Linked DNA regions of Lepisosteus oculatus. The protein of the gene in region 1 interacts with the protein of each later gene in a biochemical or structural test. Links are inferred from orthologs where the notes say so. Each region holds a gene or a part of one and is shown in the gene's direction. Other genes may lie near its edges.

Evidence for each region.
Region 2: the proteins of tjp2b (region 1) and cingulin-like form a complex in vitro, tested with the Homo sapiens proteins (2 studies listed by BioGRID and IntAct, with this or other methods). The link is inferred for Lepisosteus oculatus from reciprocal best matches to the Homo sapiens genes TJP2 and CGN.

Annotation. Positions count from the first base shown.
Region 1 is NC_090698.1:57,830,722-57,845,994, forward strand, and holds the start of tjp2b (tight junction protein ZO-2b), read left to right. Parts: upstream 1-7,656; 5' UTR 7,657-7,707; coding exon 7,708-7,820; intron 7,821-8,666; exon of another isoform or gene 8,667-8,787; coding exon of another isoform or gene 8,788-8,900; intron 8,901-15,273. UniProt on the Homo sapiens protein: Plays a role in tight junctions and adherens junctions. Acts as a positive regulator of RANKL-induced osteoclast differentiation, potentially via mediating downstream transcriptional activity.
Region 2 is NC_090722.1:5,544,327-5,560,101, forward strand, and holds the start of cingulin-like, read left to right. Parts: upstream 1-7,406; 5' UTR 7,407-7,631; intron 7,632-15,775. Other genes in the region: lenep (lens epithelial cell protein LEP503), read left to right, coding at 4,495-4,686. UniProt on the Homo sapiens protein: Probably plays a role in the formation and regulation of the tight junction (TJ) paracellular permeability barrier.

The DNA of each region.
Region 1 (15,273 bases):
TTACCACCTGCTGTTTGAAAAAAAAAACCCGGTATGTTTTGTTGTTTGTTTGCTTTTAAATTTACATTAAATTTCGTTGAACAAGACATGAACCTGAATGTGACAATCTCTTCGCCCCTCCCTGCTCCTTCTCTTAATCGTCTCGGGGTCTAAGTTCTTCTACGGCTTCTGTGATCTTTGATTTTGTGTGCGTGATTTATACTAATCAGTCTACAAATACTAAAGTCTGTATTAAAAGACTGATCTACAGTATGGCAAAACACGGAACAGGTAGGTTTATTCCACGCTGAATGGAAAGAAAAGAACGTTTCGGCTGTGGAGCCATCTTCAGGCGACACCTTTCTTCTCTTTTCAGCATTGAATAAACCCTTTACCTTTACTGGTTTTATCAATATGGGTTTTGTGGTTGTCGTTGATGTTTTTACTTCTGACGTCCTTTTCGTGTACAGTATTAGAGATCGATAAGGGCCATCTGGATTTTGTGTCTTGATTATTGTAATGATTGCAATGATGCAAATAAATTTCACTACTGACCATGTACAGTAAATGTATCAATTATCTGTAATTTCCAGAGTTTTCCTTCGATTGAGAACACTCTGTTTTCCATGTTTGCGGAAGTAACCTCTCAGTCGAAGTTCCATAGAAAGTTATCAACATGCGTATTCATTTACTTGATTCCCTGTTCCTGGTTTCAGGACAGCCGTTTGTATTGAGGCAGAGTTGCATAATGTAGTGTTTATTAATTATTGTATGTATGTATATTCAATTATAAATTGAGAGACTAACAATTGTAATTCTATATTTTGCTAAAAATCCTTTTTTTCTGGGAAATGGAAGTTTCCATTAAACATGAACACTTTCTATGTGTAACGAAATAGGGAGAAAAGTCTTTGTTGTGAAAACGTCAGTATTAGCCAGATCCATTGTTTTCGTTGGAGATCACGTTTTCGAAAATACTCAAGCAACACGTGAGATAGTGGCTGGGGCTTTTCAGGCATGATTAATCATGGTTTATATTGGGTGGGTATGGATTAAACACCAACGAAAAAAAGCCCAATCTTTGGAAGAGCATAATGACAAGGATGTAGAATTGTTACAAACGAGAGAGAGCCATTCGACCCATCTAGCACAGGTGCAGGTGTGAAGATTCAGATTATGTCCAACTGTAAAATTGCAAAAACAATATACACAGGCAACGTATATCTGTCCAGGGTGAGCAGCAACAAGGAGAAGCAGGTCCTGATGAAGTACAGGTTCTGTGACCACATTTTGGGCATAGAAACCTGACAACACAGGCAAGCCTACCTACCCAGAGGGGACAGGCTAAGTGACCAGAGCCAGGACATAGAAACTGGACACAGACAGACCTGACTGCCCAGAGAGGACAGGCTCGCTGACCACAGTCTGGCCATAGAAACTGGATGACACAGTCAGACCTGCCTGTCCAAAGACAACAGACTCCCACTGACAGCAGGGAGAATCAGAGACAGAGTTGTACTCTCTGCTGCAGTGCATTAAATACTCTGGGATTAGACATCATTCTTCCCTAAAACAACAAATCCAATCCCAGACTTCCTGCAACTGTCAGATACACAAGAACCTCCATTCTTGCGGGAGGGGATTTGAAAATCAATAAAGCTAGTGGCCCAATATGTGATCTCCTGTCACAGCCTGAGGGACAGATAGTGAACCATATTATAATAATATGTTTTTTTTGTTGTAAATATCTTAGTAATTGTTATTTCTGTGGTAATTGCTTTGTAATTCACCAGTCATGCCAAACAAGTTTGTTGAATCTGAATAACGTTCTGTGCTAACCTAAAAGTTCTAGCCTTCATCCTCAGGATCTAAGATTGTAAGGACATACAGTATGATATATGTTAGAGCTTAAAAAGATAAATTTGTGTGGCTTTTTAACCAGAAAAAGAAATTACCTCCTTCATGAAATATATGTGCTGAGCCTCTTTCAAATGAGAGCAGAGTGACAGTGTTGGCTCTGATTTATGTGTGTCACCCTGTGGTCCATGTGGGTCCTAATGCCCCAGTATAGTGATGGGGACACTATACTGTAAACAAGCGCCATCCTTTGGATGAGATGTAAAACTGAGGTCCTGACTCTCTGTGGCCATTAAAAATCCCAGGGTGTTTCTTGAAAAGAGTAGGGGTGTAACCCTGGTGTCCTGGCCACATTTTGGCCATTACCAATCATGGCCTCCTAATAATCCCCATCTATGAACTGGCTTCATTACTCTGCTCTCCTCCCCACTGATAGCTGATGTGTGGTGAGCTTTCTGGCACACTATGGCTGCTGTCGCATCATCCAGGTGGGGCTGCACATTGGTGGTGGTGGAGGGGAGACCCCATTACCTGTAAAGCGCTTTGAGTGGTGTGTCCAGAAAAGCGCTATATAAATGTAAGCAATTTATTATTATTATTATTATTATTATTATTATTATTATTATTATTATTATTATTATTATAGGTCTTTATGCAGTTGTGTGCAAAAGGCTGGGCACCCCTGGTCAAATTGTATGTTTCAGTGAATCTCTCAAGTTAAAAGATGTTGACACAACCTCTGTGTTGTACCAACGTAAACATCTTTCTGCAAATTGTAATGCACAAATGGTATTTATCAGATTGAAAAATTAAAAATGTGAATGTGGCATGTGTAAACGTTTGGGCACCATGTCCGTCAGTACTTTGTAACACCTTCAATGGCAGAAATCACAGCTTCCAAACATTTCTTGTAGCCAGCAAAGAGTCTTTCCATTCTAACTTTTGGAATTTGTCCCGCTTTTCCTTGCAGAACTCTTCTAGCTCAGAAATATTCTGAGGTCTTCTTGCATGCACTGCATGTTTAAGATCTCCCCACCGATTTTCAGTAATATTCAAGGTGGGGGGCGATGAAGGCCATTCCAAAACCTTAATCTTTTTTCCTGTAGGTACTGCATGGTTGATTTTGAGGTATGTTTTGGATCGTTTTCTTGCTGAAATATCCAGATTCTTTTCAGCTTCAATTTCTTCAGTGACTCTGGGACATTAGATTCTAGGATTGGGTGATATTTAGTTGAATCCATTCTTCCTTCCGCCCATACTGTCACGTCCTCTGCAGCCAGAGGGCGCTCCTTCTCTGTCTTGTCTCTCATTTCCGGTTCTCTGCTGTCCTTCCGGTGTTTCTCTCTCTCTCTTGGACTATATATTTCCGGGTCTTTCAGTCTGCCTTTGCTCAGCATTGACGTTCGGATGTCCTGAGACCCGCCTAGCACCAGGTCGCCCCAAGTCCGCTACCTGAGGGCCTAGGTTTCTATACGGCATTTCCTGAACAGCTGAGCCCGGGCTAACCCCCGTCTCGCCGCTACGCTTAGGGTCTGCTTGCTTTCCTGCCATTCTACGGTTCATCACTTCCGACATCTGTGACACATACAGTATTTCCTGTGCCACTGGCTGCCACACAGCCTCAGAGCATAACAAATCCACCCCCAAACTTAAGAGCTGGCTAGGTTTTTTTTCCTTCAAATGCTTCATCCATTTTTCTCCAAATGTACCTTCTGTGATCATGGCCAAAAAATTAAATTTTCATTTCATCAGTCAACAGCGCTTTGTTCCAAAAGGTTTCTGGCTTATCAAGATTTTGTATTGTATACTTCAGACGTTGACTTTTGTGATGAAGTCATAGGAATGGTTTCCTTCTGAACACTCTCCCATGCAGATCATTTTTGTGTAAGCAACGCTGTACTGTGGACCAATGGACAACTGCTCCAGTGGCAGCTAAACGTTTCTGCAGGTCCTTTGCATTGATCTGTGGGTTCTGCTTTGCATATCTGACCCAGATTGTTCTGAGTCTTCCAGATCTTGCCTTGACTACAACAGTTCCCTTTAACTTCCATTTCTTAATGATTTCTAATAATGTTTCTAACAGTTGAAATTGCAAGCTGGAAGCATTTAGCAACCTTTTTATAGCCTTCACGTGCTTTAAAAGAGTCAGTTATCTTTATTTTGTATGAGCCCATAGTTGTTGAAAGTTGGCAGAACAACAATCACAACCTGAGAGGTTAGAAGAATCAGAGTATTTGTTCAACTGACTTAATTTAAGGCCTAATGAGTCAGTCAGGTTTAGGGACCTTTGAAAAACACAAATTAAAAAAGTAGTCATTAATCAGCTGGGAAAATGTCCAATCATTTGCGCAAGCCAAATTAACTTTTTTATCTTTTTCAATATGTTAAATTCAGCAAATAAATAGTAATTGTTCATTCAAGTTTGGAGAAAGATGTCATTTTTACATTTGTGCCATGTAGGTTATCAACTTGGTTTTACTTAGAGATTCACTGAAAATATACAATTTCAGTAGTAATTGTGATTTTACAATGCATGTTTCATATTAAATCTGAGTAATGTGAGTGAAAAGAATGCTGCTTATATTAAAATTTTAAAAGGCTAGATATCAAAACATTCCCTTGGTACCTACAAATTTAATAGCCCTGTAGTCAGTGGTTATATTGTGTGACCGATGGCTTCAATTACACAGTCTGCTTCAGCTGAACTCCTTTTTATGGACATTAATGATGGATACTGTTGTCATTATACAGTATGAGAAGTGGGATTTCCTATTGTAGTAAGGAGAATGGGTTATCTGTGAAAATACAGTGGTATATAAAGATCTAGTCACACTTGTTAACATTAAAGTACAAATGTTTTAGACTGGCATATTACAACAAAAAAAAAATATTTAGATGTACAAGTGATAAGGCACAACAGTAAAAGTACCATATGATCTTTGAACATATCAGATCTTGAAGTAAATGCATCTGTAAAAGCAGGGGAAATACTGTAGGTTATATGTGATTCAGGAAAAAAAAACAGGTAATCAGTTGTTAAAGAATGCAAACTGTGGAACTTAAGGATTTTGTAGCACTTCCAGGTTCACGTGGGTCTCAGGTCGGCCTTCTACTGCTGGGGCTCGAACCTGGGCCTCTGGCGTCACTCAGCAGGGAACCAGCCAGCTGAGCTAAAGGAAAATCTTTATATATTCACAGGGAAGGGCGGTGACATCACCACGCTGGCAAGTCGGCTCGCACAACCTGTAATGTCGGCCGTATGCGTTACAATATGAACATATATAGATTACATTATACCAATGATGGGAATATCTAGTAGGACATCAGTGGGTATAGTCCAAGATTCCAATTATAAAAATATGCAAAGGATGTGCTACGTACTAGATGTTACATGAGCACATTGTGTAAATTCTTTGACCGTACTTTATGCTGTGAAGAGTCGGTAGCTGATTTGTTTTTATATGGGGATAAAAAAGGCTGATATTTACTCTGCGCTATGTTGGGAAGCTGGGAAGCTATTAGGATGATGCTCTTTGGATCCATCAAGATTCTCTGCCACCAATTCTGGTGTCACTTTGTGTATTTTATCATTTAGCATTAAGATTAAGCTGGACTCATTGAGTTCTCAGTAAAGAGGATACTTAATGCTAAAGAGAAGTTTTTCTAGAGGGATTTTATTCTTACACTATATGTAAAATACTTTAATCTATCTACTATATACTTACAGTATATCTATATGTATCCACTATACTTATACTTTGATCATTTTGCAAAGTCTTTCTGTGTACATGAACTGAAAGGGAGATCTCTGACCTTCTTCAATCTGGTTTTCCACCTCAGTATGCAGTATGCATAATTCACATTTATATGTAGTATTCATGCCCTGTGATGGACTGGCATCCCATCCAGGGTGTGTCCTGCCTTGCACCCGCTGCTTGCTGGGATAGTCTCGAGCTCCCCCGTGACCCTGTATAGGATAAAGTGGTTAGAGAATGGATGGGTGTAGCTTTCATGATGTTTTGTGGGGTGGGCCTCTGGAAAGTCTGCTGTAGAATGATCTACCACTCTGCACAGCCTCAGAGAGCAGGCAAAGACTTGCCACTCATGGATGTGTCCTGTTGATGCCGTCGATTGGCCAGCCTCCACCAGCTGTACAGAAGGAGTGGCCAGTCTTCGCAAGGTCAGCCAGGCCCTACAGATATTCAAAGTCCGTTCCTTGATAGGCCTATTAGAAAATCAGACATTTCAGATCATCTTATGGGTACAGAAACCTGTTGGCTGGAGGATGTCAGTGTGCAGCTGTGCAAGAAGGTTGTATTGAATCTGCACCAAGTCTCAAGAGGTTCGCCCCACATTAAGACTCTGCCCTCCCAGTTGGCTTGAACAGTCAGCACTATGCAAGTCAACTTGGAATCTCCACCTGCATTCCACTTACATGCAGGTTATTCCTAGAATTTCTTCCACTGTTCTCTGCAGGCAACAACAAGATTTTGGTAACATGATGACCAATGCCAGATACAGTATTCTAAGCGATGTCTTACAGCACGTTTGAGTGTGGCTTAAAGCTTTAGCATACTTTTTATATTAAGTAGGAAGTGTTAGTTTGGCTTAGTTGAAAGTGTTAATGTTCAAGCAAAGGACTTCCAGTTTTTAAGAACAGCAGCGAAAACATCATTATCTTGGAGTTGGTACAGATGTCACATTTCTAATCAGATGTCAATAAACTGTATCAGCCATAAAGAGTGCAATAATTGAAGTAGAACCTATGTTATCTATATATGTAAATAGTAAATGTAATTCAAAATCATTTATCGAAATTATGACATGGATCCTTTCTTTTAGAAGTCATCATTATAAGTGACAGTATATTTATCTCTTCCTGTCTGGTCTCCAGAAAGAAGTATGTCTGGTATTTTTAACAGCTATGACTGTAAAGTTTGCTGTTGCTGGTGTGTTCCAGTAATTCCATTCAGTTATGTGTGAGAAATGCTTGGAGATGCAGACTTTTGAAAGAAGAATTACCAAAGGTTTCCAAGTTAAAGAGTTCAACTGTGATTTTCCTGACTGATGCTTTCTCAATATTATCAGGATTATCTGACAGCAATGTCTGATGTTGTTTATATTGGTGGTAGGTGGACGCACAGATCTTATTGCTAGCTGAAAATTAGACTTTTCAAAAAGTGTTCCATGACATGATAGACTGTACAGAATAAGCATGTAGTCTGTGCAAAAAACTGTTTTATTTGTTGTGCTAATTATTGTGTATTTAATGGTTAGTTAAATTGTGTTTATTTTATCGTTCTTTGGCACTAAAATCCCTGGGTTTATAATAGAAGCCGCACAGAAGGACGTAATCCATTCGTGCAAGCTGCCGGCACATAATTTCATTTTCCAAAGCTGCATTCCCCTGATATGCTGCCCTGCTGCTCTTCCAAGAGATTATTTTTAAAAGAAATTCTGGGTACCCCCTTTTGGCTTCAAACGCACAGACTTTGACATGGCCGCCTCTAAATTAAAGCAGTGTCGGGGTGATTTTGGGAATCAACAGCAGTTTTTGGGGGGTTAATGTTCCAAGGAATGGTTCAGATTTATCTTTTGGGTTTTATTGGGGATTATGGGGAATGTGGGAATTTACATTATCTGTCAGGGCTTAGTACCACAATTATCCCCCTGGAGCATTTTCATTAGTGTAATGTTTGAAGATCCTTAGAATTATGTAAGAATGACGCTCATGAGATTCAGAAAGCAAATTCTCGATTTGTCAACCAAAGAGTTTTCTTTTGCTCCGAAAAATATCAGTTTAACTAAATGGACCTCTTGCAACCTACATAGTTGCTGGACGGCACATAGTGTAGTCCTGTAGTGTACAAAATGAAGTACAAAAAATATCTAACTATAATGCAAGCAGCTATGGGCATTGCCCCACTGAATAAACGCGAACTTCTTCCTCAGAGTCGGAACTACAGCCTCTGGAAACAAGCAGGGTGAGTGTGGAAACAGTTTTTGCTGGAATGGGTTGAAAGTTATGAGTTTGTTAGGCAGGAATGAGAATTTCAAAAACAAAATGGGCATTCAGAGCAAAATGTTAATTAACAAACAATCTTTTTATGATTAATGTTTTTTGTTGAAGATGAACGGTGTGGCAGTGTGAGAGTTAAGGTGGGTACACAGTTTAATACCAGTTGTGCTAGAGAAGATGAAGCATTTAGGAAAGATCAACACTACAGCAGCCACAGCTATCACAGCTATGCAGTGTAATGCAGTGTTATTTGGTGCTGGGAAAGCATTATGTTTAGGGTGCTTTGCAGGAAAAGTGTTGTTAAGCCCTGCTTTGTAAAACTATAGTGTGCCAAGGTTCTAGATGTTAATTTTATTTTCATGTTATTACCTTGATCAAATTATATGATGATTAAACACAGCATATTTCAATATTCTGTTGTTTTGCTTTTAAAAAGAAAAGCTAAAATGTTTTCCAAAATAGTTCACATGTAGTATTGTGGCAGGTACTGTGTTTTAACGGCTATGTTAAATAATTATGTCTTTATACATTGTGAGGAACTGAGGCAAGGACAAACAGTGAGAAACATATCAGACTGGTCCCAATTGTCTGAATACAGCTGGGTTGGAGAAATGTTCTGGGGGCATTTTTTCAACCACTAAGCTGCCTGAGATTTTGTCTCCCAGTGGCTGGCCGAGACACTTTCTGTGTCTAATTGGCTGTCTCGTGCAGCATGCGACCGTTGTCAGTTTGCGGATGGTGTGTGGTGGCTTTCACTAGCACGCACCTGCACTGGCTTCACAGCAGCTCTCTCCTTGCAGTGAGAGCAGCATTCTGCTGAGGCAGACTGGAATACTGATACCAGACATTACTTGTGAGCAAAGACAAAGACACCAACACTTGACTTCACAAGTGCTAAAGTCAAGACACCTTCTTTTTACTTAACAGCCGCAATGCAGCTGAGGATCCTTTGCATCTTCAAGGAGCTATTAAACATAGCAAGCAATATATGCTTCTTTTGCACTGAAAAGAAGGAAGACCCGTCTCTCCGGCATAGATGCATAAGGTGAAATGGAGTAACTTCTGTAGATGAGGGGTTTGAAATAGGATGGCGTAGCTGTATGCATGCTTTCACTTTGCCCGTTTGAATGCCAGCTGTTTTCGTCTTGTGTTTATTGAAGATGGCTTTATGCCTCTGGTTTATCTGCATGGTCTTCTGAAGACAGGGATTGTGTTTATCGCTCCGATAACAGAGTTGGTTGTTTCTCTGATGCCTGTGTCTGCAGACACTAGCCTGCATGTCTGCAGCAGCTTCATCTTGCTCAGTGCAGGAAGGGCACCACAGGATGAAGTTAGGAAGGGAATAGGCAATTTACAGAGTATTTCCAGCACAATTGATTCTCCAGGCAGGACTGAGTCGGGTGCCATAGACATTGTCTATGGAATGGGTGCTGTTGTTTTTGTGTTTTTTTTTTATAATTTAGACTGCCTTCTGTTGTTTAAACTCAAATCATTAATGTCATTGTCACCTGATGACAATGGTAACATAGTATGTTACTCAAAGCTTAACTGCATCTGTTTTATAAGGAAACGTCATTTGTATCAGAATGTTTAATAGATTAATACCATCAATGATCCATTTTTATTTTTCAAAGAACAAAATGTCATTTTTTATATTTTTGAGGTGGTTCCAGTTCAAAATATTTCATACAGTGAATATTTGTGTTCCTAGGGTAATTATTAACTAAATTCTGTCTGCACTAATTTAAAGTACTACGCCAATACACTGTATAATTTAGTGTAAGAATATATGTGAATGTGTTGTAGATGGTATTATTAATATTTGTAAGATTCTATATAGAGTCGTTTAGCTCACGTGTGAATAATACCCAGTTTGGTTCTTTAAAAAATACAACAAAAAATTCAGAGTTTGCAAATTGTAAAAGAAACAACATTAACCACTCTTTTAACCACAGTCTTTTAACTAGAAACTTCTCAGCAGATAGAAGAAGTTGATTTTCTATAAAGCTTTTAAGGCAGAGTAACACATTTATTTTCTGTCACATCTGTGGTATCCAGTCTAGGCAAAATTTGATAAATGATTTGTATTTCGTATTTTGTCTAGAATTAATAATTATTCATAAAGTAACAGTGGAAAGCATTGATCTCCCTGTCTAATATCCTGCGTAGCTGGGAGAGGCTCAGGCAAGGACTGTTGTCTGTCTGTATGACTTGAAAAAGAAAATGACGTGAACTCATATATTCCCAATAACATTGTTATAGCAGGCATATTTAAAGGTAACATGACATAACATGTGAGTAATGATTAGAATGCTCACCCTAAATTAGTGAAATTCTGACCAATGTAAATCCATTAAAATTAGTTTAAAACAGAATTGGTCACATACTCTTTATTTTGTATACTTACACTTTATTAAATCAACATTCAGACACCAAGTAGTCCTTAGGAAGGATATAAAAAGCTTGGTAATGTCTCATCTTTTATCTCCAATTGGCAATAAATGTGACAATGCAACACCCAGGAGGAAGCCCAAGTCCTAATTTTACATCAAAGCATAAACGTATGATTATTCCTTATTTGCTAAAAATACGTATGAGTCCTCTTTTGATAGAAATAATTGAATTGGTATAGAAATTCTAAAGTAGTCTTATCCAACCTTATGATGTATAGAAAAAGGGAACAGCCCACAATATATCTTATGTGATTATGAAACAACTGTATGGGCAAAATGACTATTAATGCTAATTAGTACAAATCCCCTTACATACATTGTATATTACCCTCATAGTGGATAATTAAGAAAATAGCTCATGAAAATAATATAAGGTTTAGTATTTAAGCTATTATGTCTTATGTATTAGTATGAAGAGGAAGGATCTAGAATGTGTTTCTTCTAAAGATTATACCTCTCTGGAAGCTTCTCTTCTCAGTGCCTGCATAACTAAGAAAGGGGACTGCACAATGAGCTGCAGTAAAATGTACAGCTAGTGGGAAACTTAAATTACAAGATCTTTTATAACTACAGTTTTCAGCTATTCTTTGTTTTTAGTACCTTTTTGTTCTTAATGCATAGTCCTTTCACATATGCTGTAAATACGAAGTTAAACAGCTAACTCACTTTGCTGTAGATGAAATGAATTCTTTCATAGAATTTGTCTTGTATGCGGATGTATAAAAGAGTCACATTTGACCTTACTATAACAGTGAGCCCCCACTCACTTTGCTACTGTAGTTTCCATCTGGTGAAGGTGCTAAGACATTTTCAGAAAAAAATGACAAATCTCTCTTGACCCAAAGATTCCTTAAGATTTTGGCCACCATTATGAACCACAAAGCAGGCATTCAGTAATAATTGTGGCAATTATCTTCTAACAACTTGGTATATCTATTTCTAAATATGAGATTATCTGTTTTCTTTTTTGGTTTGATTTATAAAAGTCCTGCTCTTTTTTCATTACAGATTCTTCAACTTGAATATTTTCATCCTTTTCGTTCCTTTCATTTCCCAGGAATTCCATTTAAAATCAGATTCTGATTCTCTCTTGCAAATACTTTTCAATCCACATATTTGTGTGAACTATTTTTGACAGTGACAGTGGATGAAAGTGATATGCTCTTTAAGACGTATTTGGTTTCTTTGGGTCTCTTGTACAAATTTAGATTTTTAACAACCCCATATAATCAAAATTGTATTCTCTCTGAAGTACACAAGAAACCGTTTGTTCCCTATTCAATCGGTATATTAAATGCAGCTAAGTGACTGTTTCTTGTATGGACCTATCGGATTATGTGTAATGGTAGGGTGATATGGGCAGAGAAAAGATGTCTGTATACAGTATGTATTGTAACACGTCTAAGACTATTGTTTATTTCTTAAGTGTATTTATTTTATTATTTTTTTGTAGGTTTGTATGGTGATGCCAAAGACACATTTCCAAATGCGTTGGGTTGGACAAGAAAGATATATCGTAAACTTATTTAAATCTATATAGTTTACCAGAACTCAACATACTTCATGAACAGTCCTCCCCCAAAGGGAAAATAACATTCAGGAAAAAAGTAGTACCAAAATAAAATATTGATTCCTCTTCCCAAACACCAGCATAAAGATCAGAATATATTGGTGCTACACAGAACGCATGGCAGTACAGTTAGATTTGAAGAAGAAAATAGGGCAAGGAGACATAAAATAATGGTAGGTCAGAACACATTCTAACAATATGCATGTTATCAAAACAGAATCTTGTTTACGGAGAAATGTTCCAGAGCCTAGACATTTTCAACATGAGGAATATAGTGTAAAGGCTGTCTATATTTAAACAGTAAGAATAAATTTATCTGACATAATATCACATTGTATTATACAATCTTGTCAAGATTTTATCACAGATAAACTCTGCCATTGCTCTTATCAGTGATATCTCGATGAAGACTCTTGATTTTGATCATGGTCATTTGTCATGTAATTATATGTAGGTTGCTAGCATATATCAAGTTAATAAATCTTTTATCTCTCTTTTTAAAACAAGGTCTGGATATCAGGCAAATCCTTTTGTAGTCGTTCAACAATAAGAGGCATTAAATGTAACACTTATTTGGTGTTAAGAACGCTAATTTAATCACCCCAATTCAGTGTGTGAATTTTGTTTATCTCACTTGAACACCTATTAGCGTGGACGTAGAACTCCACCTGGGCAAAAAACATCACATGTTCCGTGGAAGAATCTACAGATCTCCTATAGATCTAAAAATGTGAATAGTTGTTATATGTGGAATAGAAACTTCTAAGTCCTTATATTCAAGACTTTTTATGAATTCACATCATATAACTAAAGGAAACATCAAGGGAACTTTAAATCTCTCACTAATTGCTTAACAAATCTCAGTGGATAGCTGCTTGGCTACAAATGACCAAGTAAAGGTTAATTACAAGCTGAAAGGTAGAATGAAAGCACAATATTTCAGATGTTAATCCTCTTTCAGGTGTGATAAATTGTGTATACCAGGTCCACATTTCTTTGTTTCTTTCTATACTGTACAGGTCATTTAAAGTCTGCATGTCTAGCAGTTTACTTATGGCCACTGAATTTTTTCCTAAGGCCGGGACTCTAATCTTAAACTAGTGTGGTTGAAAGGAGCATTGTGATTTTTATACATTAGAAGAACAGTAGCTTGTCTGAGTGTTCCCAAGTGGCTCAAGTGCTAAACACTATGCAGGTTGAGTTCTTCGGTCTAGACATCATTAATTCACAAGTCATACCACAAGTCAGCTGTGTCCAGTGACTGGGATTCCAATACACTTACTCCAAGGGTTGGGGCTTAGAGCATTCAGCCAGGATTCCCACCAAAAGCATCAACCCCTGTGCTTGCTGGTTTGTGGTGATGTCATTGATTGGCGTGCCTTTCCTCCAATCAGCACTTGTCTTCTTGTACATCATTGCAGGGCTTGGAGCATGTCAAAAGATGATTGGCTTGATTAATAATTCCAGATTGAGTGAGTAGTTAAATTATTTGTGATTCTAAGTTTATTTAAAAAAGGTAATACCTTGAGATATGGGTGTGGCACAGTGATGCAGTGGTTAGCATTGCTGCCTTGCGGCACTGGGGCCCTGGGTTCAAGTTTGTATGTTTTCTCCCTGTTTTCGTGGGTTTCCTCCAGGTGTTCCAGTTTCACCACGTAGTGGTAAGTTAATTGGCTCCTGGGAATTTTCCTGGGAAAATTGGTCCTGATGTGAGTGTGTGTGTGTTTGTGTCTGCGTGCCTGGCCTGTCTGCATTACCTGGGTATAGGGTGTATCTCACCTTATGTGCTTTGCTTGCTGGGATAGCCTCCAGCTCTCCTGCGACCCTGGATTGCATGGAGCAGTTGGAAAATAGACGGATAGATATATTGACTTTTTTCATATGTGTATTGTGTACAATTATTTTTTATCTTGATAGAACGTTAATTTGATGTTACATAAAGCATCCATAGAGGAGTAAATTGTGGTCATGTACAATCTTTACATGACTTTATTTACATCTGTGGAATGAACTATTCTATTATAGAAAAAAAAAAGGTCTCTGAGTGCTGAGTGACCATATACTGGGACTCTAATAATTCCTTACACTTATACAGCTCTTTTCTGGACACTCCACTCAAAGCGCTTTACAGGTAATGGGGACTCCCCTCCACCACCACCAGTGTGCAGCCCCACCTGGATGATGTGACAGCAGCCAAGGAGCGCAAATACACTCACTTTAAAACAAACAAATTTAAAATGAGCTACTGTAGATGGCATGACTAGTATAATTGTTGCGAACAGTAAGTGTCTAGATCTATAGAGGGCTGTGTGGTATACACAGTACATGTACAGTAGGTTCTCGAAAAAAGCACTCTGGAAAAAGCACTCTAATCCTTAATGATTCTTGCTGTATCCCTTTATTGTTATTAGACATTTTCTATTTTTCATAGATTGCTAAATTTCTGTTCTTGTCTCCGGTTTCATTGTGACAACTTCATAAAACGGCGATTATGGAAATTTCATCCCAGCTGTTGGGATAAGGAGCAGGAATTTTCCGCAGATGACCGCCGGGGCCAGTGTTGGCAGATTATGGTTTGCAGTCATTTAGAGAGCGTAGGCAGGCAGCTGTCACAGTCTTACTGGAAAAAGGAAGCCCATCCACCTAGTGCTCTTGTTTCATATGGATCCTCTAGTCAGTCTGATTCTCCTCTACGCGGATTTAAAGTAATGGCATGCACAACGTTATGTAACTTGAAATGGGCTTTTTTTCAGTGGCTGAAGAATTAATCTAAAGTCAAATTAAAGCAGCACTCTGGGGTTATGCAATCAATAAGCAGTCTGCTCTTTTCTGTCCTCTAAATTGCAACATGACTCCACTGTATGTTAATGTTCTATAGCAATTTAAACCATAAAATAAAACTCCAGACATGTAAAATGCACTGGTTAAATACAGATTATGCAAGTATGTACACACTTAAAAGACTTCTTCAAAGGCTTTAACGTCAAGCATGATATACGCATAATGAGGGAAATGGAGATCATCCCTCTTGGCAGATCCAGCTATCGTTAACCTTGAGTCACATGGATCAGCCTCAGGGGTACTCACTGTTCCTTGTCTGGTGTCACTGAGCCCACAGGGCTTTTACCGATTCATCAAAATGAAAAAAAAAAAATAATATGTAAGCAATGCATAGAGAAAACTCTACTCTGAGAACCGGAAGCACTTCTTCCCATTTTGTTGTAGGAGTGCAAGCTACCCAGCCGTGCTGTTGAAGTCGACACATCGTGAAACGGCTTGGTGAGATACTGGAATCACTTAACTACTAAACTGCCGAATGCTTTACTCCCTGGGGTATCTAAATCTACTCTGAACAAGCTGCAGTATGTCCAAAATTCAGCAGCCAGAATCCTGAC
Region 2 (15,775 bases), on another chromosome or scaffold:
CTGCTGGGGTAGGTGTCAGCTCAGTGACGGAGGGGATGACCGCCCTAAGAGCAGTTTGGGGTACTTTGTAAAAAAAGTGCAGCTACAGCCAGCGCAGGAACTATTCCGTTCCAAAGTGCTCCTCCGGTCCCAGCATGTCCCACACCAGCCCGCGTCTCTGGACTTGCCTTAGTCCTTGGACACCCCAACAGAGCCTTACTGAAACAATTTGGGGTTCATAGACCCCCCCCCCCCACCCTCTGCTCGGTGAATTCCCAGGGCGTGTCTCAGCGGAATGAGCTCTGCGCTATGTGGACTGTATGAATTAAGCGAAGAGGGCACTCCAGGTTTCCTCCTGCCCTCCCGTGGGGTGTGTACCCCCTCGCTTTATAGGGGTGCAGTAATGGGGCACGCGCCCAGCGGCGTGAAGGTTTGAGATCTCCATCAGTAACCCTGGGACACCGCAGCTTCTGCACATCCTTGGAAACGCCGGACGCAAAACCTCCTCGTGCTCCTGGAAACCTGGGAGGAGTGAGGGCGTCGGAATGCAGGCTCGGCTGAAGCAGGAAACATTCTGGAGTGAATGTGTTGGAAATCATCCAGGGGGTGTTATCCGGGGATAATAAATATTGGGGGGGGGGGGGGAAGAGGGTGCTACAGCACAGTATCTGCACCCCTCTCGGTTTGTCTTCAGGTTCCAGCTCCACCGGCAAGCGTATCCCTGCCAGGCCAGAGGGTCAGGATACAATCCCTCCTACCCAGCAGTCTTCCCACAGACATCGTATCGGAGCCGTGTGTGTTCAAAATAAAATACACAGCTGCACTGGGATTAAAGATTCAGGGATCATCCCCCCCTGTCAAGCGGGTCACTGGGCAGCCCCCAGTGAATCCTCAATCATCCATATCGGCAACCCCAAGAGGAGAATTTCTGGGGGGTCCACAGCACCTTAGGGAGCGGTGTCTATACCCAAAGACACGGATTCTTGCCAAGCCGCCCTGTCCGTGACGAAGCAGAGGATTGTGAGCCCTCAGGACAGCTCCATAATTATTCCAACCTGGGGCAGAAACGGAGAGACTCATTCTGCGCGCTGGCCTCCCATACAGCCCGTAGAACTCGCCGCACCTTCTGAGCACAGCTGGGTAGCAGCCCTCCGGATGAGGACTGTGGAAGGGATGGGTGGAGGAATTGGAGGGCGTGTTCGGTACTCGATCCTGTCTTTGTTAGGAGGGGTTGGGGAGGTTTATTAGTGAGATTCTTCCTGGGAAGGGGATGGTCTGTCTTTTGAGAGCCATGTCAGTGACGGGAAGAAATGGGATTGTGAGGTGGCAGGGTCTTCGGTGAGGTTGACAGCTCAACAAAGGTGCTGCACTGTGCCAGTAGTCCTAGTGCATTCTGGGAATTGCGGTTTATTGGTTGTTTTTTTCCTGTCCCTATCCTGATCGGTTTTCCCCTGGCCTCTCCCGCCATGGAACCTTACCATGAATCTGGGTGTTCCCTTATGGATTCATCTGTCGGAACATCCTGCAGTGGCTTTGGCTTGGCTCCAGACTGTGGCTGCCTCTTCAGCCCGTGATTTGGACTTTTGCCATCTCTCCCTTAATGGACCTACGCCACCCATAAGCTTTTGGTTGGGCTGATGGGAGCTGTAGTCCACTCCAGCTCTGGGAATCAAGTCTTTGAAGTGGTCTAAAACTAACTTATCTGAAGGACACCTTCTCATGAGAGATGTAGGTGGTCTGTGGGTCAGTCGTGTATGGTGGGGGCCACATGACGCTTGTGGAAGAGAAAGCCTTACACTGCCTGGCTTCTGAGCAATCAGTCAAAGAAAACCACAGGAAAACCCATCAATCAAGACAATCAGTAATTAAAATAATCATGAACAATCCTTTATAAACCCTTGTGCAAACACATATCGTAGGGAGATATGCATAGAGTATAATATAAATGATACAGTTTCAGTTTTGTGGTGTACATGCAGTTTCTTAGAAACTGAGAGGAGAGAGGGATGACAGAAACCACGGGACTTGACTCCTCTTCTCAGATTTTGAATTTTTCTTTTCTCTTAATGTGCCTTTTGGGCCAGTAATTTTTTATGGCCCAACCCACCTCATATGCAAATTATTTTAACTTTAACAAAATATATATACAAGATCTAGACAAATGTTACAGCATTGGGGGAGCTTCTTTTTAATGGCTATTGAGGTGCTGGGGGAGTGCCAGGAGGAAAAGGGGGAGGAGTCTGGAACACAGCTGGTGGCTCTTGGCCAATCATGCTGCTCTGTCCCACAGCTGGAGCCACCTCCCACTTCCTGTGTGGGCGGAACTTGATTGGCGATGCTCAAAACAGCCTTTACAACAAAGAACAGTTTTAGCACCAGACACACTAGGTCCAGTCCTCAGTCTGGTTCACCAGTTTACTCAAACTTAATCCAGCAGCCCCTGCATCTTTTCCAAATGATCAATCCCGATCCGTTGCATTATGCTCCCACTCTCCCATCCCTCAATAGCAGGTTTCTTGGCAGTCGTGCTGTGTGCAGAGTTGAACGTGTGTGATTTTTTTAGAATATTGTCAGCTGTGTTATGAAAAAGCGGGGACTGCTTCAGTCGCAACAGACTGGGAGGTGGGCAGCGCCCAGCTGCGGGGCTGGGTGATGGGATTGAAGATAGATACTTTATTGATCCCGTGAGGGAAATTGCAGTGCAACAGCAGCTTAACACAGACAACACAGGAACAGTGTTACTAATGATACAATAATAATAATACAGTACAATCAGTACAGTGAGAAGTGCACTATGAAGAGTTACTCACGGTCCAGAACACACAAAGAACAGAACAGCATACAAAGAAGTTGTCAAAAGTCAAAGGGAGGGGGAAGGGCACTGGGGGAGTGACCAGAAGTATGTGACCACGAGCTCCTCGGCCTCCGTTGTCCCGGCTCGCCTCTCGAGTGGCCTCTGCGGCCCTCAGCGGCCCCTGCAGGCTTCCCTTGAGATCCGGGAGCCAAAATGTGAGTTTGGAAAAATCTTTTTTTGATTGTGTTTATTTTTTCAGTTATAAAGTCCCTAAAGCAGCACAGCCAGCTGGGTCTTTCCGAAGATCAGCACGGACGTTTGGGCGTTATGCGTAGTAGTAATACTCCGACGGTTTGGGCAGTTCCTGTGTCTGTCCGAGTCTGGACAAAGTGAGACACTGAACTGGTGGCAGAGGGGTTTGTTTGTGTGCTAATGTTAGATTTTGTCCTATCCTGCACAGGCACAATATCAGGGCATTTAGGGGGGGTCCTCCAGGCAGTATTTGGGCAGCCCCTGAGAGAGTGAGCGAGGATCATTCCACCTTCGAACCCGGCCCCCTCGTTCCCAGTCCTCGACACTCTCCCTCATCTCCGGCCATTGCTTATGTTTCAGAGAACCTGCGCACAGAGGCAGTCTCCTCTCTCCTGTTCCTCTGCGTCTCTCTTTGCACCTGTACGATAAATCCTGCTTGTTTCAGATTATCTGTATTATTGTTATAAACCAAAGCTCAGTCACTGAGGTTTTTTTTGTACACTTTCTGTTAATGTTGGGGGATAAAACGTTTACATCTATATCTATATATATATTATATATATATGCATTATACATGTCTTTTACCTTTATTGGTGGATTTGGTTTGAAATATAATTTCTTGTATTTCCTGCTTTGATCACTGTCTCAAGGTGTGGTATGTTGATTCTGTGCCTGTGTGGTTAAGAACTGACTGCTGGGGCCAGGCCAGGGAGACAGGTGGGTAAGGGTCAGTAGAGCTGGGTTAAGGGAGACAGGTGGGTTAAGGGAGAGAGCTGGGTAAGGGTTAAGAGAGGTGGGTTAAGGGAGAGAGCTGGGTAAGGGTTGAGTGAGATGGGTGGGAGTCCACGGAGGAAGAGGGGGGCAGGTGGTCGAGAACAGGGGAGTGGGAGAGGAAGCAGAGTTGAGAAGGTGTGGTCCACAGAAAACCGGGGAAGGCAGGAGAGCCTGCTGGAGAGAGAGAGGGACAGGGGTGCTGGTTCAGGGAAGGGAGGGGGGAGTGTGCACTCGCTTGTGCTCAGCCTGCCAGAGAAACGGAGCGAGCAGGATTTGTGTTTGTAAAGAGAGACGGCGGGGCCTGACACGCCACGTGTGCGGGTCAGCAGCGCCGCTTCACACGGCGAGAGCGATGTGGACGAGCCGGGACCCTTCCAGAGGGGCGAGCACAAAGAGCTGGAGGGGCAGAAAAAGATGAGCTCAGCAGGGGGAGGGGAGGTGCACTGGGGTCCCCGCACAGGGGTGGGCGAGGGAGACATAAACAGGCACTGAGCGCCGGGCACGCCAGCGATTTCCACTTGGTCCCGAGAGAGAGAGAGGAAGAGTACAAAACCGGGCCGGATCGATAAAAACGACGGGAGGTAAGCCGGGTCGAGAAGGAGGAAGACAACTAAACTTCCCTGCGAGCGAAGGGAGAGAAAGCGCCAGGAGCTACAGAGCCCTCTGCTCCCGCCCGGCCTCCACAGCGCTGCCCCATGCAGCCCCAGCGCCCCGTCCCCCAGGCCGCGCCCTCCTCCGTGGGCCACACCCTCCGCGACATGGCCCTGGGCTTCGGCCGCAACAAGAACCTGCTGGGAGCCAACTTCTCCTACGGGCTGCTCCAGTCGCTCAAGGAGTGCCTGTACTTCCTGCTGTGCTGCTGGTGCATCAAGGAGATCCTGGACTGACGGCGGCGGGCCGGGCCGGGCCGGGCCGGTTCCGATTCTGGCGCGCCGCCTGCTCTGACACAGGTAGAACACTTCTGAAAACACTGGCTGTGACGGAACACTGGAGAAGAACGGCTCAGTGAGATATTGATGAAGTGCAGTAAAAAGCCAAGTAAATTAAGCTAAAGGTACAGTGAGATCAGGGTAAAAGCACAGTACAGTAAAGCCCAGTGAGATCAGGGTAAAAGCACAGTGCAGTGCAGTACAGCCCAGTGAGATCAGGGTAAAAGCACAGTGCAGTGCGGTAAAGCCCAGTGAGATCAGGGTAAAAGCACAGTAAAGTGCGGTCAAGCCCAGTGAGATCAGGGTAAGAGCACAGTACAGTGCAGTACAGCCCAGTGAGATCAGGGTAAAAGCACAGTGCAGTGCGGTAAAGCCCAGTGAGATCAGGGTAAAAGCACAGTAAAGTGCGGTCAAGCCCAGTGAGATCAGGGTAAGAGCACAGTACAGTGCAGTACAGCCCAGTGAGATCAGGGTAAAAGCACAGTGTAGTGCGGTAAAGCCCAGTGAGATCAGGGTAAAAGCACAGTGTAGTGCGGTAAAGCCCAGTGAGATCAGGGTAAAAGCACAGTAAAGTGCGGTCAAGCCCAGTGCGATCAGGGTAAGAGCACAGTACAGTGCAGTACAGCCCAGTGAGATCCAAGTAAAGCACAAGTGTAAAGAAGGTTTTCGACCAATTCTGAGTATATTATATGTAATTCGTGTTGTTTTGTCATTTCTTTTCGTGCAGCAATCTTTAGTTTTAACGCGGGCTGAAATGAAGGAGAATGAAGTAGACTTCGCAAGCTGAGCTTTGGAAGTGTGCGCGATGCTGGGGAGCGGTGCGGGACTCTCCCCCCTCCCCCTCTCGAGACTGGGGCTTTTTCTTGACGAGTCACGGTCTCGCCCTGGTCCGCAGCCCTTCGTGAGACAGAAGAACTAATTCCTAGAAGCGTATCTTCGTCTCGCTGAGGAAGTGAGCACATTGCGAGGAGAGAGGGGGGCTGTGAGCCCGGTGACGTGGAATTCCTGACGGGGGCGCTGCAGGCCGACTCTCCAAACGCGAAAGGAGGGTTTTCATGGACGAGCCGGCAGTTGAGCTGCCGTTCGCTCGTCTGACATTTGCGTTTCTGGAATTTCTCTTCAGTAAAACAGTGGGGAGCAGCATAATTTACTAACAGAGCTACAGATGAACTAGCGAGCACGTTCCCAGGAGCAGTGTCCCTCAAAAGCAGAAGAGAAAAGAGAAAAAGGCGAGTGCGTAATAAAAATACACAATTCCCGGTCTCGGACTGGCTTCACGTTGTTTTTCCAAGCTAAACGGCGCCACCTCGTGGGATTGCCGAGCTCGGCACCCTCTTTATTCTGTCCGCGGAGTTCTGAACTGACGGCTGATCTCTTTTTACACGCTTTGAAAATGCGCCGTTGCTTTTGCATCTTCGGCCTGCTAGCATTTACGTGGTTGCCTCTTTCAATCATGATTTTGTTCAATAAAAATTACACGAGTTCCTTATGTTTCCCATCTGCTGTGTGTGTGTGTGAGGGCACTATTCCACCCACAAGCAAGGCACTACATATGAACAAGTAATAGGTTTATTCCATGCTGAAAAAAAGAAGAAAGAGAACACAACGTTTCGGCCGTTCTCTTTCTTCTTTTTTTCAGCATGGAATAAACCTATTACTTGTTCCTTTGCAGCCTACGCCCGCTGACGCAGCTCCCCACCTGAACTACAGACACTACATATATACTACATTTAGCAGGGCAGGTGCCTGCAACCACTGTATTGCACAGGTCCAGTCCAGTGAGTTATCCATCCATTTTATAATGATTCTTCCTCCACACTACAGGACCGAGAGGGACCCAGAGTCTGTCAGGGCAAGGGAAGGGTGCAGGGCAGGCTACACCCTGGACAGGATGCCAGTCCATCACAGGGCAGACACACACACTCACAGCAGGGCCGATTTTCCCGGGAGCCACTATCCCCACACACCAGCTCTCAGTGGGGAGGAGAGCAGAGGGATGAAGCCAGTTCAGAGACAGGGATTGGGATTGGAGGCCATGATGGTAAAGGCCAGGGGGAAATTTGGCCAGAACATCGGGGGTAACGCCCCAACTCCTTTAGAGAAACGCCCTAAAAACGACCACAGAGAGTCACAGATCGCAGGGTGAGCGCCCCCCTACTGGCCCATCTAACACCTCTTCCAGCAGCAGCAGCCTTAGTTTTTCCCAGAAATCTCCCATCCAGGTACTGACCAGGCTCACACCTGCTGAGCTCCAGTGGGCTGCCAGCTGGGAGCTGCAGGGTGATGTAGCTACTGACATTACACTACATACAAAATAAATACATACAAAAAGCTCTGACACAGAGTCACACAGTGAATACTGAATTGCACGGTAAAAAAAAATGAATGTTACTATTAATTGTTCTGCAAAGACTTTACGCTGAAAAGAGAAGTTGTGAAACTTTGTTCTGCTGCGTTAACAATAACAAAGCCTTTCGACCAATCACATGCGGCCGGGGGCGTTCTTAATAGTTAACAGACGGCCCATTAATCCAATTGGACCTGATATTACAGGCAGAAAGGAGATTGACAGCGCATTCTATCCAATAACATTAATGAAATAACTTAGGATTCCGCCTCTTTGTCCGGTAAACAGCCAATCATTCAGCGCCTACAGAGAAGTGGTGGGTGGGACTCATCCCTAAGAAAAGGTATCAGTCGCGGAGGGTAACAGGTTGAATGACGGAGCTGTGTCGCCGAGGGTTTGTTTTTTTATTTTTTTTTTAATGAGACTTGAAAACAACGACAAGAGAGAAAAGATACCGCAAGAAAAACGCTTATAACGTCGCTTATAGCAAGGGACCCACCGTAAAAGACATCTCTTCTCTTCGAAGGAGGAGCGGATCGGTGACTTCGATCGGCAGGTGAGTGAACCCCGGGTCGGGCTGTCCGCTGGGTCGGACCCGGGCTCAAGACTCGGTCCGGTCTTCCCCGGAGTCGAGGGAAGACGAGAAAGACGAGCAAACGGGGAATAAGTAAGGCTTTCTGGGCGGTTTGGCCACAGTTCCTAGCTCACACGCAGGTGCGTCGTTGCGGGAGCGAGTCTACCTGTGCGCTACAGGCGGCGGCGGCGGAGGAGTGAACACGGATCACACACACACACCACTGCACACCACACCACACACACACACCACTGCAGCGAGTCCCTGCCGTTTAACACCACATCGCCGAGCTCTGCTGCGCTCTTAACCCAAATCAAACACGAATTAGGTTCGTTTCTTCTCGTTCCACCTGCCCGAGACCCCCCCCCAAAGACCCAGGCTCGCCCGCACTTCCACACACACGGGAGCCCTTTCTTAGCTAGTTTCTCTCGGTACCTGCGTGTGTGTGTGTGTGTGTGGGTACATGTCTCCTGTCCAGGTGGGCTGGCGAGAACCGACCGCCCCCCCGCGCGTCTCAGCGCCCGTCCTGCTCTGCGCTCGGAGCTCCGCCGCGGGTGGAGATGTCGCCTGTCTGAAGGCACAAAAAAAAAAACAACCAGTCCGAAGGCTTTTCCTTTTTTTAAAATTCAAGTCGTTTCCGCGGCGCCCCCGCCGCCTGTTCCCCGGGAAGGACGGGTTTTCTGGAGCAACAGGCGGGTTTCGGGTGAAGGCGACCGCCGGTTTCTGTTGCGCAAGCGGGGGGGAAACGGCAGCAGCCGGCCCGCTGGGGGCGCTCGGATCTCCGATGTTGGTCGTGGGGCAGCCGGCTCGTCTTAAGGGCGCTTTGCCTGTCGTGGCGTGTTCCCACGGCTGCCCTGCGCGCTGGGGTCGCGCCGTGGGGCGGTCGGGTAGAGGGATCATGTCTGTGGGGCGGGGGGGGGGGAGAGGGTCGTCTTAGCCTTGGAAACGGGGAAAAAATCATCCGTGTGTGTGTTTTGTGGTGGTGCCAGTCTTGTGGTTTCTGGTCTCCTTTAGGGGTTTTGGTAAAAAGGAAAAAAAAAATAATTTAGAGGGCATGGCACTTGGATTCTAATAGCAGTCTGGTCCACTCCAGGGTTTTACAGTGCTGACGATAGGATTTCCCAGTCCGCAACACGCTGATGTGCTCCAGGTTGCATGGTATTGTTACTGATGTGTAGCGTAGCAGTCTGGTCTGCTCTCCTTATGGTTTAGTGGTGGTGTCAGTCAGTGACTCCAGGTGCACAGCAGTCTGATCCGCTCGGGGTTTTATAGTGTCACCGGTCTCTGACTCCAGGTGCACAGCAGTCTGATCCGCTCGGGGTTTTACGGCGTCGCCGGTCTCTGACTCCAGGTGCACAGCAGTCTGATCCGCTCGGGGTTTTACAGCGTCGCTGGTCTCTGACTCCAGGTGCACAGCAGTCTGATCCGCTCGGGGTTTTACGGCGTCGCCGGTCTCTGACTCCAGGTGCACAGCAGTCTGATCCGCTCAGGGTTTTTGTGTTGAACCCGACACCAGCGGCTGGGGCTCTTCAGAATGGAAGTTTGCTTTGCTGGGTCTTGCAAGAGCTCTGGCAGCCGCTGGGCGCAGTGGAGGCTGCTGAGCGAGTGTCCAGCGACGCCTCCTGTCCAGTGTAGCCGCCCGCCCGTGTCCCGAAAGGCCGCTGGTCCGTGATCACGCACTGCGTCGACCTTAAACCACAGGGCCTGAGGAAAGCTGGAGCTGCGGCTGCGGGCTGGGTTCACCCTCACTGGGGTCCCCAGCCCAGTCCCCTCGGGGCCAGAGACGTTCCTTAACAGGCCAGCGGTCTTCCTGGAAACCAACAGGCTTGTTTTGGGCTCTTCATTTCCAGTGATTCAGATCTCCTGCTTTCGTCAGGTTGTTTCAGGAATTTGAGAAACGGAGGATTTCAGGGTGACCTGCAAGGTCTGTTAGACTGGGATTCCCCAGGGACCCCTGGGTGACAGACTGGTGATTTCAGCGTGACCCGTGGGACCTGCTGGACTTGATCCATGGGAGGCCCAGGTGATCCGGGCAGTGCCTGCATTCAGCCCTGGGGGGGGGAGTCCCGGCTTCTGCACAGGCTCCCAGCGGGGGTGCGAGGAGGCTGGCCGCCGGCTGCTGGTTTCTTCATACCTGCTGCTGTTGTTGGACAAAAACCGGCCCTGAGCTGCCGGGGACAGGGGCTGAAATCGCTCCTCTCTGGTCTTGTTGGGAGCACCTGGGCCCTGGTGCCCCGCAGCGTCGATTCTTGACTCCTGCTCTCGCTGAGCAGACCTGCTGGGATGAGTCTCCCCCTCCCGGTCTGGAGTTTGTGCCATCCTGCTCATGATTGAGATGCTGCAGTGCTGTATCTGGGGAAGAGATGAGTGTAGTACGTCCACACGCCCGCACGAGAAGAGACGGCCCTAGGGCACGCACTGTGCATCCCACCCACATGGTCGTGGTGATGACCTGCTGCAGCCCACAGTGGTCCCCAGGAGCCCCTCAGCTATAGGGGTTAAAGGGCGGCACCCCCTCCCAGGCCGCTCAGATGGGCATTGAAGGCTGATGCCCAGCGGGGTGCAGGGAAAGAGGGGCTCAGGCAGCCGGTGGACAGCCTCCTCGCACCCCTGCTGGGAGCCTGTGCAGAAGCCGGGACTCCCCCCCCCGGGCTAGCTGCAGGGACTGCCCGGATCACCTGGGCCTCCCACGGATCCAGTCCAGCAGGTCCCACGGGTCACACTGAAATCACCAGTCTGTCACCCAGGGGTCCCTGGGGAATCCCAGTCTAACAGACCTTACAGGTCACCCTGAAATCCTCCTGTTTCTCAAATTCCTGAAACAACTTGAAGAAAGCAGGAGATCTGAATCGCTGGAAATGATCCCACGGATCTCTGTCATCCCCCTTCCCTCTTCCCACATCACCCACCAGCTGCCACCAGCTCCCCCCTCCCCGGGAATCGCGCTCTCTGTGTGCCCTGAGCCTAGAACTGGGGACGCCTGCTAGCTGTGTCTTCCAGTCCCACAGATGAGCTGCCGCTTGAAAATGGGCCAGCCCGCCCGGCGAGGTCGTTCAGGTCGCTAATGACATGTTCACTAGCTCTTCGCTAGCCGTGGCTCGTTCATACAGCTCCCGAACCCAGCTGGCTCCAGAAAATCCCTCCGCTGGGTCCCAGGATGTGTCGGCATGGGTCGTCGCTAGCAGTCGCTCAGGGTAAGAACAGTTTCCAGCTCGGGGTAGAAGTCATCGCGTAGCTAGAGGTAGGGAGCGTTGTTTGTGCTCTAATGCAGTGGTTTCCGAATCTGGTCCTCGTGAAGCACGGTCTGCTGGTTTTCAATCCAGCTGAGCTCTGCGTCTCCCGGTGCTGATTGATGACTTTAATCGATCTGTTGTCTCCTTTAGCCTTCCGTTTACTCCTCTCTTGGGTCAGTCCTGAGTGTCAGTCATCCCCCGCCTCAAGCAAGCTGTTTCCAGCTGCTGCAGCACACAGAGCCCTGTGCAGCCTCCCTCCTTCACCTGCTGGCCCTTATTCCTGACTGAACAGCGCTGGCCAGTTGTATGGGGTACCGGGGGGGGGGGACTCCATCAGACACGCCCACACAGGAGGGACCCTGTACCAATCCCACATGTCTCTTTGAGAGCTGATGGCATAGTTTCAAATAGGCCCCAAACAGAACATTTAAATCCGAAGACAGCGTTCCTCCAGGACCAGTGTTGGGACCTGTGTCCTCTGTAAATGTCCAATTAATATTGATGAAATATGAATGAATAAACCTAGAATCATCTAAACAAGAAAAATACAGTTTGACATGAATGTAAGTGTAGCGCGCATTTGGAACTGGAAACTTACCCAGATGACTTGTGAAAAGTGCGTTTCTGTGTTGAAGCTGAGACAGTGTTTTTTTCTCGCAATGCATTGTGGTGTCTGATCGCTATTGGCCACCAAAACCGCGTAGAATTTTCCTTCCTCTGCCTGAGGCGTTCGATCCAGGAGAGTTTTGCTGGGGTGCCGATCTCCCTCTCTCCCCTTGCACCCTAGTTCTCTAGTCTCCTTGCGCCATGACCTGGCGTGATGCAGTCCTCATAATCCCTTTGCCTGTGGCTTTCATCTTCAGCACCACGGCACGACTGTCAGGAGGCGCTGAGCTGACAGGTCAGCAAACACTTCGGGCCTCTGGGGAGCAGTATCCTGTGTGGCTACTGGAAAACGGAATTCAGCACCGCAGCCCTGAGCTGAGTTGGAATCTTGTTGAAGTTTGGAGCCACGTCTTCCCGGGAGGGATGGGGAGTTTGGAATGGGATAGAGAGAAAGGGTGGTTGTAAGGGGGGAGACTCCGGGAGAGGAGCACAGTCTGATAGGGTCATCGATCCGAAAATCAGATCCTCACTCAGGATTGAGGAGGAGACTGGGCTTAGCTCGCCGACTTGACTGTGACCAATCGGGCCTCACTGTCGGCTGGGTTGGGGATTGCTGAGCTTGTAGCGTAGTCCGAGCTGCCCTGAGCAGCTTCACTGTCAGCCTGGTTTGTTATTAACTGCGCCGTTAACAAATCACTCTCCCTGAGCTGGGAGAGAGGTCAGCAGCGCAGTGGCTCAGTTAGTCACTGAAATTCCGCATTCTTTCCAAACGCGGATTGCGTCTGGATTGTAAGGTCCTAACCTCAACGGGATCGGGCTCCTCTGTTACAGCGAGATCGGTCTGGGCCACTCTGGGGAGGCCTACCTGCAGTGCTCCTGGAGTAAGGGGGTAGAGGGTGTCACCCACTGGTGCTGTTCGGCCAAAAATATGTTCCCTGCTTCTGTTGCGCCACGCGTATCTGTTCAAATTCTTTTCCCATGATGTCACTCCAGCACCTTTGCACTGCAGGAACAGCACTAGGCGCTCAAATATTTACAGTCTTTCTGGGTCAAGGTGACTTGAGGCCAGGAAGCCTTAGTGCAGTGACTAATGTGAGTGTTTCTCCCTGTCGGGCGTCTGGAATAAGATTAACTCTTCAGTTCCCGAACTAATCAGTGTTTAAACTGTGTGCTCTGTTTGGGGGATTCCTCTCCTGTTTACTGGATGTTTGATCATCTCAGGACATTGTCACTGACACTGCTGTCCCTCTCCTTTCACACTCCCCCTGAATTCACACACCTGACTGGACCGGAGACACTGCTAGAGACACTGCTGTCCCTCTCCTCTCACACTGCCCCTGAATTCACACAGTGACACACCCCTGACTGGACTGGAGACACTGCTGTCCCTTTCCTCTTGTAGTCTGGGAGTATGTCAGAAAAAACGAATTGTTATTGCTTTGGCAATGCTCTGATTCACCAGTTATGCCAATAAAGCTACTTACATTCCTCTCTTCCACTCCTTCCCTCTCCCAGTCCAGAGTGTCCTGTCTTATCAGAACTCTGAGTTTCCAGGCAGTGATAACAGAGCTCTGCTGGCATTCCTCCTGCCTGTGAGCCTCCCCTCTGCCCCTCCCTCTGCCCAGCTCTTTCTTCTCCTTCCCTGTACTCTCTACATTCCCAGTGGCTTCTCCTCTCGGGTCACACAGTGTAGGTGACAACCAGTGGTCTTTCCCAACAGCACTTTGGTCGGTTTCTGAAACCCTCAGGACGGTGTGCATACGCCCACGTTGCAGCCAAGCTGAAATGAAGGGTTTTAGGAGGCCAGTCCACAGCTGTGAACAGGGTGATGTGGACCAGTCCGGCCTGGTGCAGGGTGGCAAGGCAGCTGGTACTCCAGCAGGGAGACAGCTGTACCTTGATGGGACTCTTCACAGATGTGTAAGTGGACTCCAGTTAGTAGGCAGTAACATCCAGTCATTCCAATCCCTGTCAGTTCTGTTTAAAAGCCTTTGCCAAGTTAATACCAGTTAAGCTGTCTAATCGGTAAAACAGTTGGGATCGTGATCTGTATTGGCGGAAGGAGACCAAGTCGCATTGAATTGTGCCGCCTCTGTTCCCCCCCCCCCCTCTGGTCAGGAGCGGCCGCTCCAGTGCCCCCCCGCGGGTCGGAGGTGTGTGTGTGTGGGGGAGCTCCATTGTGTGCATGTGGAGCAGAAAATCGCCCCCGCGATGCGCGGAATGCGGCGCCTCTCGGCTGGCAGGGGCCCCCGCGGCCGACGGGCAGATCGCTTCAGGGTTCATTCTTCGAGCGCTTGGCTTCGCCCGGCCCCTCCCCTCCTTTCCTGTCCCTTAATTCCTCTTTCTCCGCGTCGGGAGTCCAGCCCCCCCCCACAACCCTGATTTCCGTTCTCTCTCGCCTCCTGGGGGCGCTCCGGTCTCGCCTGCTCTTTGACCCGTCCTCGCGGGGTGCAGCGCGGGTCGGAGCCAGAGCCCGGTTCTGTTCTTCAGTTCCTCAGTTCCCGAGACCTTTGCTGGGTTTTGCAGCCATTTTCAGAACCGGCCTATAAAAGCCAAGCCTGCTTACAAGGATGTGCAGTGCTTGTTGGCCTGTGTCCTGCTGACCAGGAAGCCCCTCAGCAGGCTGGGGAGAGAGAGATGCAGTGGAAGTGAAAGAGTTAAAGAGCGACAGCGTTGGCAACAGTGATGGGGAGACCGGTGGACAAATGAAGGGGCGTGCCAGGGAGGTGTCCCCGTGGCTTGACCGGAGACCACCAGCCTTACCACATTTTCCAGGTGCGCTGCTGAGGATGTGCTCATGTGTGGTATTACAGTGGGGTTTGGCAGCAGCTCAACGGAGCGGAAGACGTTACAGGGGGTGATCAGGTCAGCCCAGTCCATCACTGGGGTACAGCTCCCCTCTATTGCGATCATGTTTACGACTCGCTGTCTCAGGAAGGCTGGAAGTATCGCTAAGGATATCAGTCATATTGCTTTCTCATTTTTCTCCCCCCTTCCCTCTGGGAAGCGTTATAGGAGCATAAAGGCACAAACTTCCAGATTCAGAGACAGTTTCCTCCCACAGACTGTTGGATTACTGAACTCTACCCCCGCCGCTGGCTCACACAGATGTTTATTTCCTGAACTGTATGTTATTTAACGTTGTTGTTGTTGTTGTTGCTACCACTGTTCTGTGTTTACGTTGTTGGTGTTTCCTTAATGTCTTTGTATTGGAGCACACATGCCAATAAGCATTCCATGGCACTTGTGCGTATGACAGTGAACTGGACTGAGTGATGGTGCGGGAGAGAAGCCGTGCCCAGGCCAGTGCATGACGTGTGCCTGGCGTACACAAGCAGAAACCGCAGGGGGATAGGGGTCCAGACTCCCGCTGTGCTGCAGTGTGATCCGGTCCAGGTTTTGCTCCGAGCTTGCTGTGAGTGAGGTGGGCGTCGGTTGCAGTTGGTCTTCAGAGTGGCGGACGGGAGCTGTCAGTGCCCGTGTTCAAGGATACAGCAGTACAGACCTCATTTTCTGTTTGGCGGCCCGTTCGTCTTCGATGGGGTGAAGCTGGGTTTCTTCCTGTGTGCTGTGGCCAGGATTCCCTAGCTGGCTGGGTAGGTGTGCAGGTTGTTATGGAAGGGTAACAGTGCCACCCTGTGGTCTGCCAGGAGCCTTCAAGCTTGCAGTATTTTGCAGGGAGAGGTACACAGCTCCGAGGGGGGCTTGTGACCGTGGCACAGCGGCCTTAAAACAGCTTCAACTAGGCTTGGAATATCTATATCCTCTTAATCCATTTCACCCTTCAGGGCCCTGGGTGAAACAGAGTTTTGACTCGAGGTGTGCAGAAACCACACTATGCCATTGAACCTCGGCTCTTAAAGAGGTAACTGAGCTAATGGTCGTTCGTTGGCACTGGTTCCGCAGAGGGATGGGTAAATCCGGCTGGGCTGAGGCCACAGAGTCCCTCTCTGAAGAGGGGCTGCTGTATCCCAGGCGTTCTAGATGCTGATCGCACAGGGGGGCTGAGCGATCGGGCTTTGCTGCCACCTACAGGCAGTGTGTTGTCAATACAGCCCTGAGCAGAGCAGACCCGTGTGTCTGCGCTTGCACATCCACATCTCTCTGTCGGTGCGGCGTGCCAGCGTCATGTGATCAAGGCACAGGGCTCGGGGCTCTGCATTGCTCCCGCCTTCCTTCCTCACAAACCTGTTCGTCTCGATCCTCCTGATTTCCCAGAATCCTTCCGGAGCGGCGGCTGAACCAGATCTTCAGGGTCGCCGCACAGGCCTGCCTTTGTTTCGTGTG